Linked DNA regions of Kluyveromyces lactis. The protein of the gene in region 3 interacts with the protein of the main gene of each other region in a pairwise test. Links are inferred from orthologs where the notes say so. Each region holds a gene or a part of one and is shown on either strand. Other genes may lie near its edges.

The links.
Region 1: the proteins of NUM1 (region 3) and SCS22 interact in binary tests that used the Saccharomyces cerevisiae proteins (3 or more experiments, as listed by UniProt). The link is inferred for Kluyveromyces lactis from reciprocal best matches to the Saccharomyces cerevisiae genes NUM1 and SCS2.
Region 2: the proteins of NUM1 (region 3) and HDA2 interact in a two-hybrid assay, tested with the Saccharomyces cerevisiae proteins (2 studies listed by BioGRID). The link is inferred for Kluyveromyces lactis from reciprocal best matches to the Saccharomyces cerevisiae genes NUM1 and HDA2.

Annotation. Positions count from the first base shown.
Region 1 is NC_006041.1:623,402-626,356, forward strand, and holds SCS22 (phospholipid metabolism-regulating protein SCS22), read right to left. Parts: upstream 1,431-2,955; coding exon 606-1,430; downstream 1-605. Other genes in the region: MAP2 (methionine aminopeptidase), read right to left, coding at 2,207-2,955. UniProt on the Saccharomyces cerevisiae protein: Acts as an endoplasmic reticulum (ER) membrane anchor for cytoplasmic proteins via binding to the FFAT motif of targeted proteins. Regulates phospholipid biosynthesis by modulating the subcellular localization of the transcriptional repressor OPI1.
Region 2 is NC_006039.1:896,129-899,789, reverse strand, and holds HDA2 (Hda2p), read right to left. Parts: upstream 2,435-3,661; coding exon 530-2,434; downstream 1-529. Other genes in the region: sphinganine-1-phosphate aldolase DPL1, read right to left, coding at 1-6; GTPase-activating protein NEL1, read right to left, coding at 2,780-3,661. UniProt on the Saccharomyces cerevisiae protein: Required for activity of HDA1 histone deacetylase complex. The HDA1 histone deacetylase complex is responsible for the deacetylation of lysine residues on the N-terminal part of the core histones (H2A, H2B, H3 and H4).
Region 3 is NC_006040.1:1,402,706-1,406,466, reverse strand, and holds part of NUM1 (Num1p), read right to left. Parts: coding exon 1-3,761. UniProt on the Saccharomyces cerevisiae protein: Controls nuclear migration. NUM1 specifically controls the interaction of the bud neck cytoskeleton with the pre-divisional G2 nucleus. Functions in dynein-anchoring.

The DNA.
Region 1 (2,955 bases), on a different chromosome or scaffold from region 3:
CTAGTTAAAGACAAGGGTCGGTGGTATTGTGCCAAATAGTACCTTGTCCAGCTCATTGCAATTGAGAAATCATTTGATGGCATGCGACAAATTGAATATAGGACAGTTGCCAAAAGAGCCTCTATAAACAGAAGAAAAAAAAAGGATGTAAAAAGAGCCAGAAAGAAAAGTATCAATGACGGTTGCTGAGTATATTGGGATCAATTTGAAGGAGAATTAGTTCAATATCTTTCGTCTCCCTTTGTTTTCAATGAGTTGTTTCAACGAAACAACGATGAAAAGAACAGCTGTGTCACAAGATGAACAATTTCAATACTAACTCAAATATCTTGTCAATGTCTTGGCTAGGGGAAAACATAGTACTAATGGCTGTAATGATAATACAATAACAATAATGAAGAATGATTTTAGCCGCATGAAGAAATCCTGCAAAGAAAAGAACAAACAGGTTAAAAAGTACGGGGGTAATTAAAACAAAAGAAACAGACGTAGATAAGAAAAGAAATACGAATATAATTCATAACAACATTTCTATCAAAGTCGAGAAATATGTTGTCATATATTATACGATGGTTGATAGTTCCCTCACTTAATCAGAATGTATCCTAAGATAACCAATACCAAAGTAAGAAACCTATAACGATCCAAATGACCACGGCCGGTGCAATATTCGACGTACTAGCGGGTTCTGCAATAATTTCAGTGTTAGCGCTGGTATCAGATTTGACCTTTTCATCGAGCTTTGGTTCACTTTCCACAACTTTTGGCTTTTCAGTATCCAGGTCAGTATTGGCAGATGCAACCGGGACAGATTTCTTTTGTACCGGTTCACTAGCGGACTCTTCTGTAGCTTTCGAACCACTAGCAATAGTTTCCTTGGCTGAAGGAATGACAGTCTCAGTTTGCACGTTATCAGTTTCTAGATTTTCCACGACTCTTGGTTCAGCATCTAGTTGATAATTTACCTTAATCTTCTTTGACAGGCCCTTGTTCTTGAACTCTGCTTCCAATTGAGGCCAAGCTTCGGCCACACTCAGTTCACCTAAATCGTAAGGAGCTGGCAAAGCTATAACCAAGAATTTATCTTTACATTTGAAATCTGGTGTAGGTTCTTCCTTCAATCCTAAAAGAATCACTTGAACATCAACGCTTTCACCGGCTGGCACCAAAGCGGCATTAGGTCTTACACAGTATACCTTAGGAGCTGTGGTCTTCACCTTAAAGGCAATTGTTTGTTCTGAGTCATTCTTGATGGTAATATGCTCAGCTGCTTGGCTAGTGAAAGGTGCTATTACGAAAACAGAGAGGTAAATCACATTGAATAATGGAATCGCAAAAATGATCCCATTAAACATTGAAATAATGATTTGGAAGCTTGTTAGTATATCGAATGCATAATAACAGAAACATAATATTGAGTATCTAAGCATCGGAGAATAATTCCATGTGGTTGAGGATATGGAACATCTATCAGAATCCCTGTAATCCTTCTAAGTATTCATCCCATTATTTGTCTCTCATGCAAGAAAAGTGAGCCAATATGGCCACACATTTGACCACACGAAGTACACTTTCAAATGCTAAACACCATATTTTGTAACTGATCATATAGTAAAGTGGTTTTTAATCCCTTTAAACCACTGCTCAAAGCGACACATACGTTTGTATTCCAATACACTTGGAGTAATTTCAACCATTGTAAACTTATAATAGTGAGAAACAGTTTATACACACTTGTGTTAGAGCTGGAAAACTAATAGACTTCCCGAATCTAACGAAATAACAAATCCCAAATAGAAAGATAAACGAATTAGATAACCGTACCTGATAATCTTCGAACAATTAACCTAGGAACCGATCACTGTAAATCCTGCCAAAAACTAAGTCTCTCTGTTCTTAATTGTAATCGCTTAGTTCAACTTTTCTTTGTTTGCAAAATGTCAAATTCGGGTATTTATGTGTGAGGGTAACCACAACAAATGAAATGGGCACTGAACCTCGTTACGTAATTATCATGCAGCGAGCAGTCGACACAGACTTCCCTCTCACTAAGAGCATTAAGCATCTTTTGAGGTACCAACAGTGCACGGTTTGATTTCAGTTCTTTTATACTTTATATTCTATTTAAACGAAACTGAATTTACCTAGATATGCATATGTTGTAGCGTTTGTTATGTATTGACTACGACAAGTCTTATGGTATCTTTCAATAGTCGTCACCACGAGAGACAATTTCCTTCTTGTGAGGATGTAGGATAAGGGTGTGTTCGAATTGAGCCGTATATGAGCCCTTAATATCGTTCAATGGTGGGTAGTCTTCTACAATACCTTGCCTCACCAATGTGTTCAAAGCGTATACGTGCTTGTCTTCGCCCAATCTATCCAAGTAACGACGACAGAACGGTATAGTTCCAAAATTTTCATCAATAACCTTTAATAGATTCTTGGCACTCGATAGGGATGGTGTTGGATGTGAACCGGGTTTCTTAGCATAATGAGAGCATTCTCCCTCTTGTATAACATACCCACGACCGGTACTCCCGAAAGTTTCGATAGCGAAATGTTCGTTTTCTTCCATCTTTGTGTTGTCACCGTTCTTGACAATTGGCACAGATTTACCCCCATGAATCGAATAAGGATTAATGTTGTGGCCGCACAAATTCCTGCATGGTTTCACTTGGTGTGTCTCACCGTTAATTTCCACTTCGTACGATTCCATCACTTCTTGAATAGCTTCACCGATATCAGTCAACCTAACGTCGATACCTGCCTCTTTAATACCAGTATTGGTTGCATCCTTCACAGCAGCCAACAAATTATCGTATTGTGGATCGAATGCAATAGTAAACGCAGAATCGATGATATAACCATTAACATGGACACCGAAATCAACTTTCATTACATCCTCGAACTTCAACACGGTCTTGTCACCAGCATTAGGAGTGAAATGAGCAG
Region 2 (3,661 bases), on a different chromosome or scaffold from region 3:
TCCCATTATCAGAAAACTTGTATCAAAATCAAGTTCAGAGTTTAACAGTAGCCAAGATTAAAGTGTTATTATTTTGTGGGAGTCAGCTCAATACAACGCAATGGTAAGAAAAAAAAAAGAACTGTATACCCTTAGTTTCTGCTTTCAATTTGAGAGCAAGACATAAAATCTACTAAAAGTTCTTATTTTCTACCCTATATGCAAAATACCAGACGAATCAGTAAAGGTCTTTAAAATCCGAAAAGTACGAAAAAAAAAGCTCAAATTCTATGTTCCAGTTTCAACTGAATATGGTTATGCCGATCCGTTACTGCCGCAGTTAGGGTGGTCATGTCGAAATTAGAATGAACAAGTCACTATTGACTCACATAATACAAACTGGTCTATATAGAGGAGTAATTGCGCTAGTGTTACAATTTTGCAAGCAAGCTTGTGTTTACCAGAATCTGACAGGCTTTCAGATATCAGTATATTGCATGCAGTAGTTGAGAGATGGTTTGGTCTGGATGTATCCTAGAAGGAGTAATACTTATGTGTACGTAGGAGAAGTAGCCCTGGTAGTTCTTGTAGTGTACCTTGACGAGTTGTTCGTTGCCGGAGATGATTTTTTTGCAGGTTCGTTTTCAATGTTGTATTGGCCTTGTATTCGGTTCATGTATTGTATTAGGAATTGAGACTGCTGTACCATTTTGCGTAAGGAAGATTTGAGTTGTGCTTCTTTTTCTTGCAATATAATAAGTTCCCACTTGGTGAAAGGTCCATTCAATTGGCGTTCCAACTCCTCTTTCTCAGCTTTCAGAGCTGAAGTCTTTAGCACTTCTGAAGCAGCCTCAGACGATTTTTGTTGGTAGCTAGATCTCAAATCGTCATTCTTAAAGGACTCTTCATCGTTACTCTTCTTGAAGGAAGAAACTTCATCTGATAGCTTGGTATGTTGTTGCTTCTGATTTTCAATTTCTTTTGCAATATCTTCGAGAGTTAAGAGCCTTACAAGCTCGGATTTGCGTTCAACCAAGCTCTTTAGACGTTCTTCTAAAACTTCCAACTCAGATCTTGTTCTTTCAACGCGTTTTTCAGAGTCGTTGATTTTGGTTTCATTTTCTTTGAGTTTTTTGAAATGTTGTCCGATATTCACCTTCAAATCATCAAAGTCATTTAACCTTTTAGTTTCTTTCAATCTGGTCTTGAGGACTAGTTTTTCACGCTCTTCATATTCTACATGGCATTGTTTGAGTCGTTCTGCCGTGAGTGTTTTTAAAATATACTGATAATTTTTAATGTCCATTGGTCCTGATTGTAGCCTTAATTCATATTTTCCGTAAGTTAGAGGCATCAATTCCATTGGGTTAGTTAGAAAAGGAATCAAATCATCATTATTTCTCGAACTTCCTGGATTTACACTTGGGAGAAATTCACCAGGGTCCGTCTCTTTGATCAATGAGTCAATAATATTTTCATATTGTTGTAAAGAAATAAGATCTTTGATATCGGCACGATACTTTAGAAAATGAACAATGGAATCCAAAATTAGCTTTTCGGAAGTAGTAGTTGGCTTCTTTTTGGATAACAAATAGTGATCCGGAGAATCTTGGACCAATAGCTTAAACAGAGGAGTTTTTCTGCCATTTTTCCTGACTTTGAATATCGATGGTAACGATTCGTCCAGCATTGGATCAAAACTGATGATAAGATCCAGATTGTACCTAGAAAGTAAATCTTCAGAGTGTGTCAAATGTGTGGTTGTTGCCAAAAACAACCAGTCAAGTTGAGATATGTTATTCTTACGTCTTGACTTAGAGTAGTTGTATTCATCTTTCGATTTTCCGATTTGCTCAGGAGCTACGCTACCAGAACTTGATGAATTTTCACCATTGGTTGTTCTTGAACCAGAAGTTTGATCGTCATATTCATGTTTTTCGTCAAACAAAGAAGTTCCAGATAACCTCTTCAACTTTGCAACTTTTCCCAACATGACGCCTTCAATCAAATCCAATTCTTTCACAGAATGTGAAATGATAGCAACTTGCAATGGCCTCGATTTGTCCTTACGATTCAATAAAAGATCAACCATTAGATTTAACTTGCCAAATTTATCGCTGGTGTATATCAACCTTTCAGTTGGTTCCATTAACAAAAACTGTCTAGGCATATAATGCTCAACTAACAGGCAAGGGTGATTCGAGACAGCTCTTATATTTTCGAAGAACCATTCAGTTAACTGAACATCTGTTAATGCAGTCATACTCAAGTCTCTTTTGAGATTTGTCCCTTTTTTTTCTAATTTAGATTGTAGTTCTGGCAGTAGACGTTTATCTACACATGAGACAAACGACTCTGCATGTATCGAGATTAAAATTTCCAACAAATCTTTCTGAACTTGAGTTAGGCCAACAGGTATATAAAATACCTGAGTCCGGTTGGAAGTGGAGTTCATCTTTCTTTCCCTAATGAAACGACCCAATGGCTCGCGCTTGCAGTTTCTCTTTCTTTTCCTCTGGACTCTGGCTTTTAATGTGCTATTCGGAAAGAATGGTTAGATTTAATTATATAGTATCTTTTAAAAAATGAAATATGTCATTTTTGAAAAGCGACAGATGGAGAAACCAAGGAATACGTACATAGTATCTTTTCCTGCCATACAATTGTTATTCAAAGGGGGAGCGATAGATTCGAAGGTTGCGACAGTAAATGGGGAACTATTCTAACCTTTTGGTTTTGGTTATATATATATAGAGTTCATGATATCTGTTGAGAGGTAAAATGAATGATTACATACTTTTCATGCAGTACTTTTTGATTTAAACAGTGCCATGTATTTATCAAGCGTGAGGTCATCAGAATGCAAAGAATGTTCTGCAGTTAAGCCTAGTCGTGCAATTACAAATCTATCCTGACTAGCACCTGGCTTGGTTTCTCGATACCAAGGCTTTGGAAATCGACTTCCATCGTGGTATATGGTATCAGCAGCTGCCTTCAAACTGTCAACTCTGCTATCTCCTACTGAAGTATCTCGTACCACAAGGACGTTACCACCATCTACCAATAAAGGTTCGGCATAATTAAGGATGTCAGTTGTATTTTGAATAAGCCCTGTGGTCGAATACACTTGGGGTCTAACCATCTTGAATATATGACTTAAAGGGGAATTCAGAATTGTCCAATGGTAGACGATCCACTCGTCAGGCGATGTATTTCTCTTCCTTAAGAGAGTTGATCTTTGCATAAAGTACGTTACTTCTTGTAAGGATTTAATGCCAGGAACATCGATGGCATTCAATGATTTAAGAAGTTTTACTATTTCTAACGTCCACCACCTTAGATCGTAATCATAAAACTTGCCTTGAAACAAGACAGCGAAAGATATTTTTTTCATTATGGATCCAGCCATTATATCCCAGTGGAAATTTTGGGTTAAAAGATGTTCACCTGGTAAGGTTGTACTGGGAATAAATTTCGTTTCTACAGAAACGTATTCTTGATTCAAGTGTTTATAGTAGCATTCCATTTGAAAGGAAAATTTATCTGGCATTTCTTGCAAGGCTTCAGCAGCGCTGCGAGATGTATCAACAGATAAACTTATCAAAATTGATGGTAGATTACTACTTGGCCCTTTGTAACGGAAGGTTCCAGACCCTCCAAAGCCCTTTGGAGTGTCAGATAC
Region 3 (3,761 bases):
TTGGCTTCCGCTTGCAAATTCTCATCAGTAATCTTCGCCCAATTTTCAGACTCTTGATGTAATAGAGAATTATAATATTTGATCGGCAACACAACAACATTATGGACATCTGGAGTATTTGCATTGGATGTGGCGACAAATGCGCTTTCTGGAATACATAGTAAGCCAAATCTCTTAGCAGCTTTGTTTAATTGTTTTATCTCAGAGTCAACGACCTCTGCGTCTTCTTCTTCCTCTTCATCTTCTTCAGAATCAGTGTCATTGTCGTTATCCATCAAATACGAACCCTTCTTCAAACGTTTGTACTCCGTTAAATCTAAAGCTATCAAATTGAAATCAGCGGCATGCTCAACTATTTGTTCCCTGGTCAAGGTTGGCGTCTCCAATTCTTTCTTAATCTGTTCAAACTGCTCAATAGGAATGGGAACAAGACCAAGATCTCGTGCGCGTATCATGAGATCGTCTTTAGAAATACCAATCGCGGTATTTGGATCATACTGGGACACTGGGATAGGCACAAATCCTAATTCTTTAGCTTTCAAAACAACGTCGTCCTCCGTCATACTGTTTCTGCCGGAGGAAGCTAATTCGCGTTGTATTTCTTCAAATTTGTCAGCATCAATCGGTATAATGTTGAGCTCATGGGCTCTTTCTATCAACTCATCCCTAGTCATTGCAACAGAAGCCGCTTGATCCTCGACTTCCAACAGATGGTCATATTCGTCTTTCGAGACAATAACTTTCCCATGTTCTTTCGCCCATTCACTGACAGAGTCATCGTTGAACTTGTTCAAAAGGTCTTCATATATGTCTTTTTCTATAGGAACTAAACCCCAATCTTCACATTTCTGTTTTATGTCTGTAACTGTCAACGGTTTTTTGAGGGCACTGTATTCTAAAACTGGTAGCGTGACGAGTTCTAGTTCTTTGGCCCTTGCTTCCAGTAGCTCGCGAGTCAAAGGCTTTTTAATTTCCTTGTAGTCTTCTTCGGCTAATGTGACAATACCCAGCTTTGACGCTTTTTCCTTGATATCATCAGCACTATCAGGTTTGATAAGCTTCAGGTAGTCATTTGTTGCTACTGGTACGAGGCCATGTTCTCTAGCTTTCTGTTTAATTGTTTCTGTTGAGATTATTGGAGCTGGCGCGATCAATTGAGTAGATTTTTTAACAAGTTGAGAATGTTCAGCTTCAGTTAAAACTATTAAGCCATACTTCTTCGCACTCTCACGAATAGAATCTGGTGTTAACCTCTCTGAAGTGATAAGTTTCTCCATCTCTATAAATTCCTCAGTTGGCACCACAGATAATCCGAATTGCGGTGCAGCAGAGTAAATGATATCCTTTGTCAAATCTTCAGGTGTCAATGATGTAGAGTAATGATTTTGATGACAATCGATATCCTTTTCAATAAGGTTGTAACCTAAAACTTCTGCATGTCTTTGCAAGTCCTCCAATGTCGGTTCATTATCTTTTATCGTTGATGCCAGTGAAACATTATCATTATCAGAACCAAGGAAATCATTGGCATCGGTATAATGAGTGGAAGATGTATGCATGCTTGACTTCGAAGGGCTGTTTCTGAGGTTGAAGGAGCTGCTACTTTGTAGCGCATCATAATAATCAGTGTCACCTGTGCTTACAGAATTGAAACTAACAGTGGAATGGTTCACAGAGGGATGGAGATTTAATGCAGGCCTAGAGCCATAATCGCCGACACGTTGATTATTATGTTTCTCGAGTTCTTCATCTGTGAAATTAACAGGGACCAACTTCAAAGCAAAACGTGAAGCATACAACTGTAAATCGTCATATGTAATATTATCACTATGCGCCTTTCTTTGTAATAAGTTATTATATTCTTCGGAGGGAAGAACAGTGAGATCAAAGGCTTTTGCCCCATTATAAATATCCGTCTTTGTTAATTCGTGCTTTTGTTGATTCTCGAGAAGCCTTTTGTACTCATCGTTTGAAAGTCTTACAAATCCTAATAACTTTCCTGATTCTAATACCACCTCTTTATTTGAATTCTCTTTCTTGATAACATTTTCGAAATATAGCTTGCTTGCTGCGACTTTCGATCTTGGTGACATTGAAGAAACTTCAACCTCTTTTTTCAGTTTTTCAATAAGAGCATCGTATGATTCTTCACTAAGAACAACAAGACCCAATTTCGCTGCAAGTTTTTCAATATCAATTTTGGTGAGAGAAGAGAGTTTTTTGGCCTCGTTTTGTAAATTCTCATATTCCTTGTCACCCAGGAGCTTGTACCCGTATTTTGGCGCGGTCGCTACAACTGATTCTTCAGATGGATTATCAACTTGGGTCTTCAAGAAAGCCAATTCCTCACGGTCAATAACAGTTAGCGCTAATGGTTCGACTAGCTGTTTTACTTTCTCTATCGAAGGAACTGTTAACTCCTTATAGTGTTTTTCAGGTAGAGGAATCAAATCGAACTTTGAACACAGACCTATCACCTCCTGTTTGGAAATTGAATCAACATTTGAGGAATTGAGACTTTTGTAGGTCTCAGCATCAAGTACCACATGACCTTTTTCTGTTATTTGCTTTTGTAGGATGTGCAGGGAAGGATTGGACAAAGAATCATAATCAGCTTCCGGAACAACTACAAGTCCGAGACTTCTCGCACTTCTCTGTAAACCCTGCTCGTCAGTAACTGCTGACATTTGTAACTTATTATGTTCTTCAATCGGTAGTAAAACTTGTTTGTGTTGCTGCGCTTTTTCTTGCAAGAATTCTAAAGATGGACTAGTCAAGTTAAGTTGAAGTTCATTGAACTTTTTCGTGGGAACTACGCTATACCCATTGATGTCGCAAACCTCCTTTGATCTTTTGATTGAAGGGTTATTGATTGCGAGCTGTAGCTCTTCGTACTCGACAGTTGGTAGAACCTTGCATTCAATTCTAGCAGCCAGTTGTTCCACTTCTTTCACCGTAGGTTCGTTTGTTTTTCTTTGCAAATTGTCATATTTCTGTTGATCGATCAAACGTTTGCCAATATTGCTTGCCCTATTTGATAAGTGTGCAATAGAAGGATTTTCATATGAGGTCTTGAGCTCTTCAATAGATTCAATTGGTAACAGGGCGAGTCCAAGAGTTCCAGCCATGTTTTCTAAATATTCTCTAGATGGGTGCTCTAATTTCGATTTCAAGCCCTCCAGTTCATCGAATGGTAACATAGTTTGATGATGAAGTTTAGCCTTCTCCTTCAAAAACGTCAATGAGGGAGAGTCTTTCATAGCCATTAGATTTTCATATTCGTTCAGCTGTACGGGAACCATTTTATAGGTTGAGAGGTGTCTGGATAAATCTTTTAGTTGTGGATTGTTTGATTTGTTTATCAAATCTTCGTAAGACTTACTATCTAAGACCACATGACCATGTTCCTTGACTTTCTTAATCAATTCATCCTCTGAAAGTAGTGCAACTTTCGAGCTTTCCTGTAATTTCTGGTATGCTTCAGCAGCAACAGGCTTTAGATTGTATTTGTCACAGAGTTTAAAAGTTTCATCTTTAGTTACTTTATCTATAACGGGAGCCATTAATTTTGAGTATCCTTCTTTTGAAACTGCAACGTAACCCAATGTTTCCAATCTGTTAGTTAATTGGTCGATGTCAACATTGTCGATTGACTTTTGTTTAAAGGAATTGAAATCTGGCGCAGTGACTGGAACAAATCCAAAATTCTTAATAGATTCGAGTAACATTGTTTTATCACTGCCCTTATGAACTAACTTTTC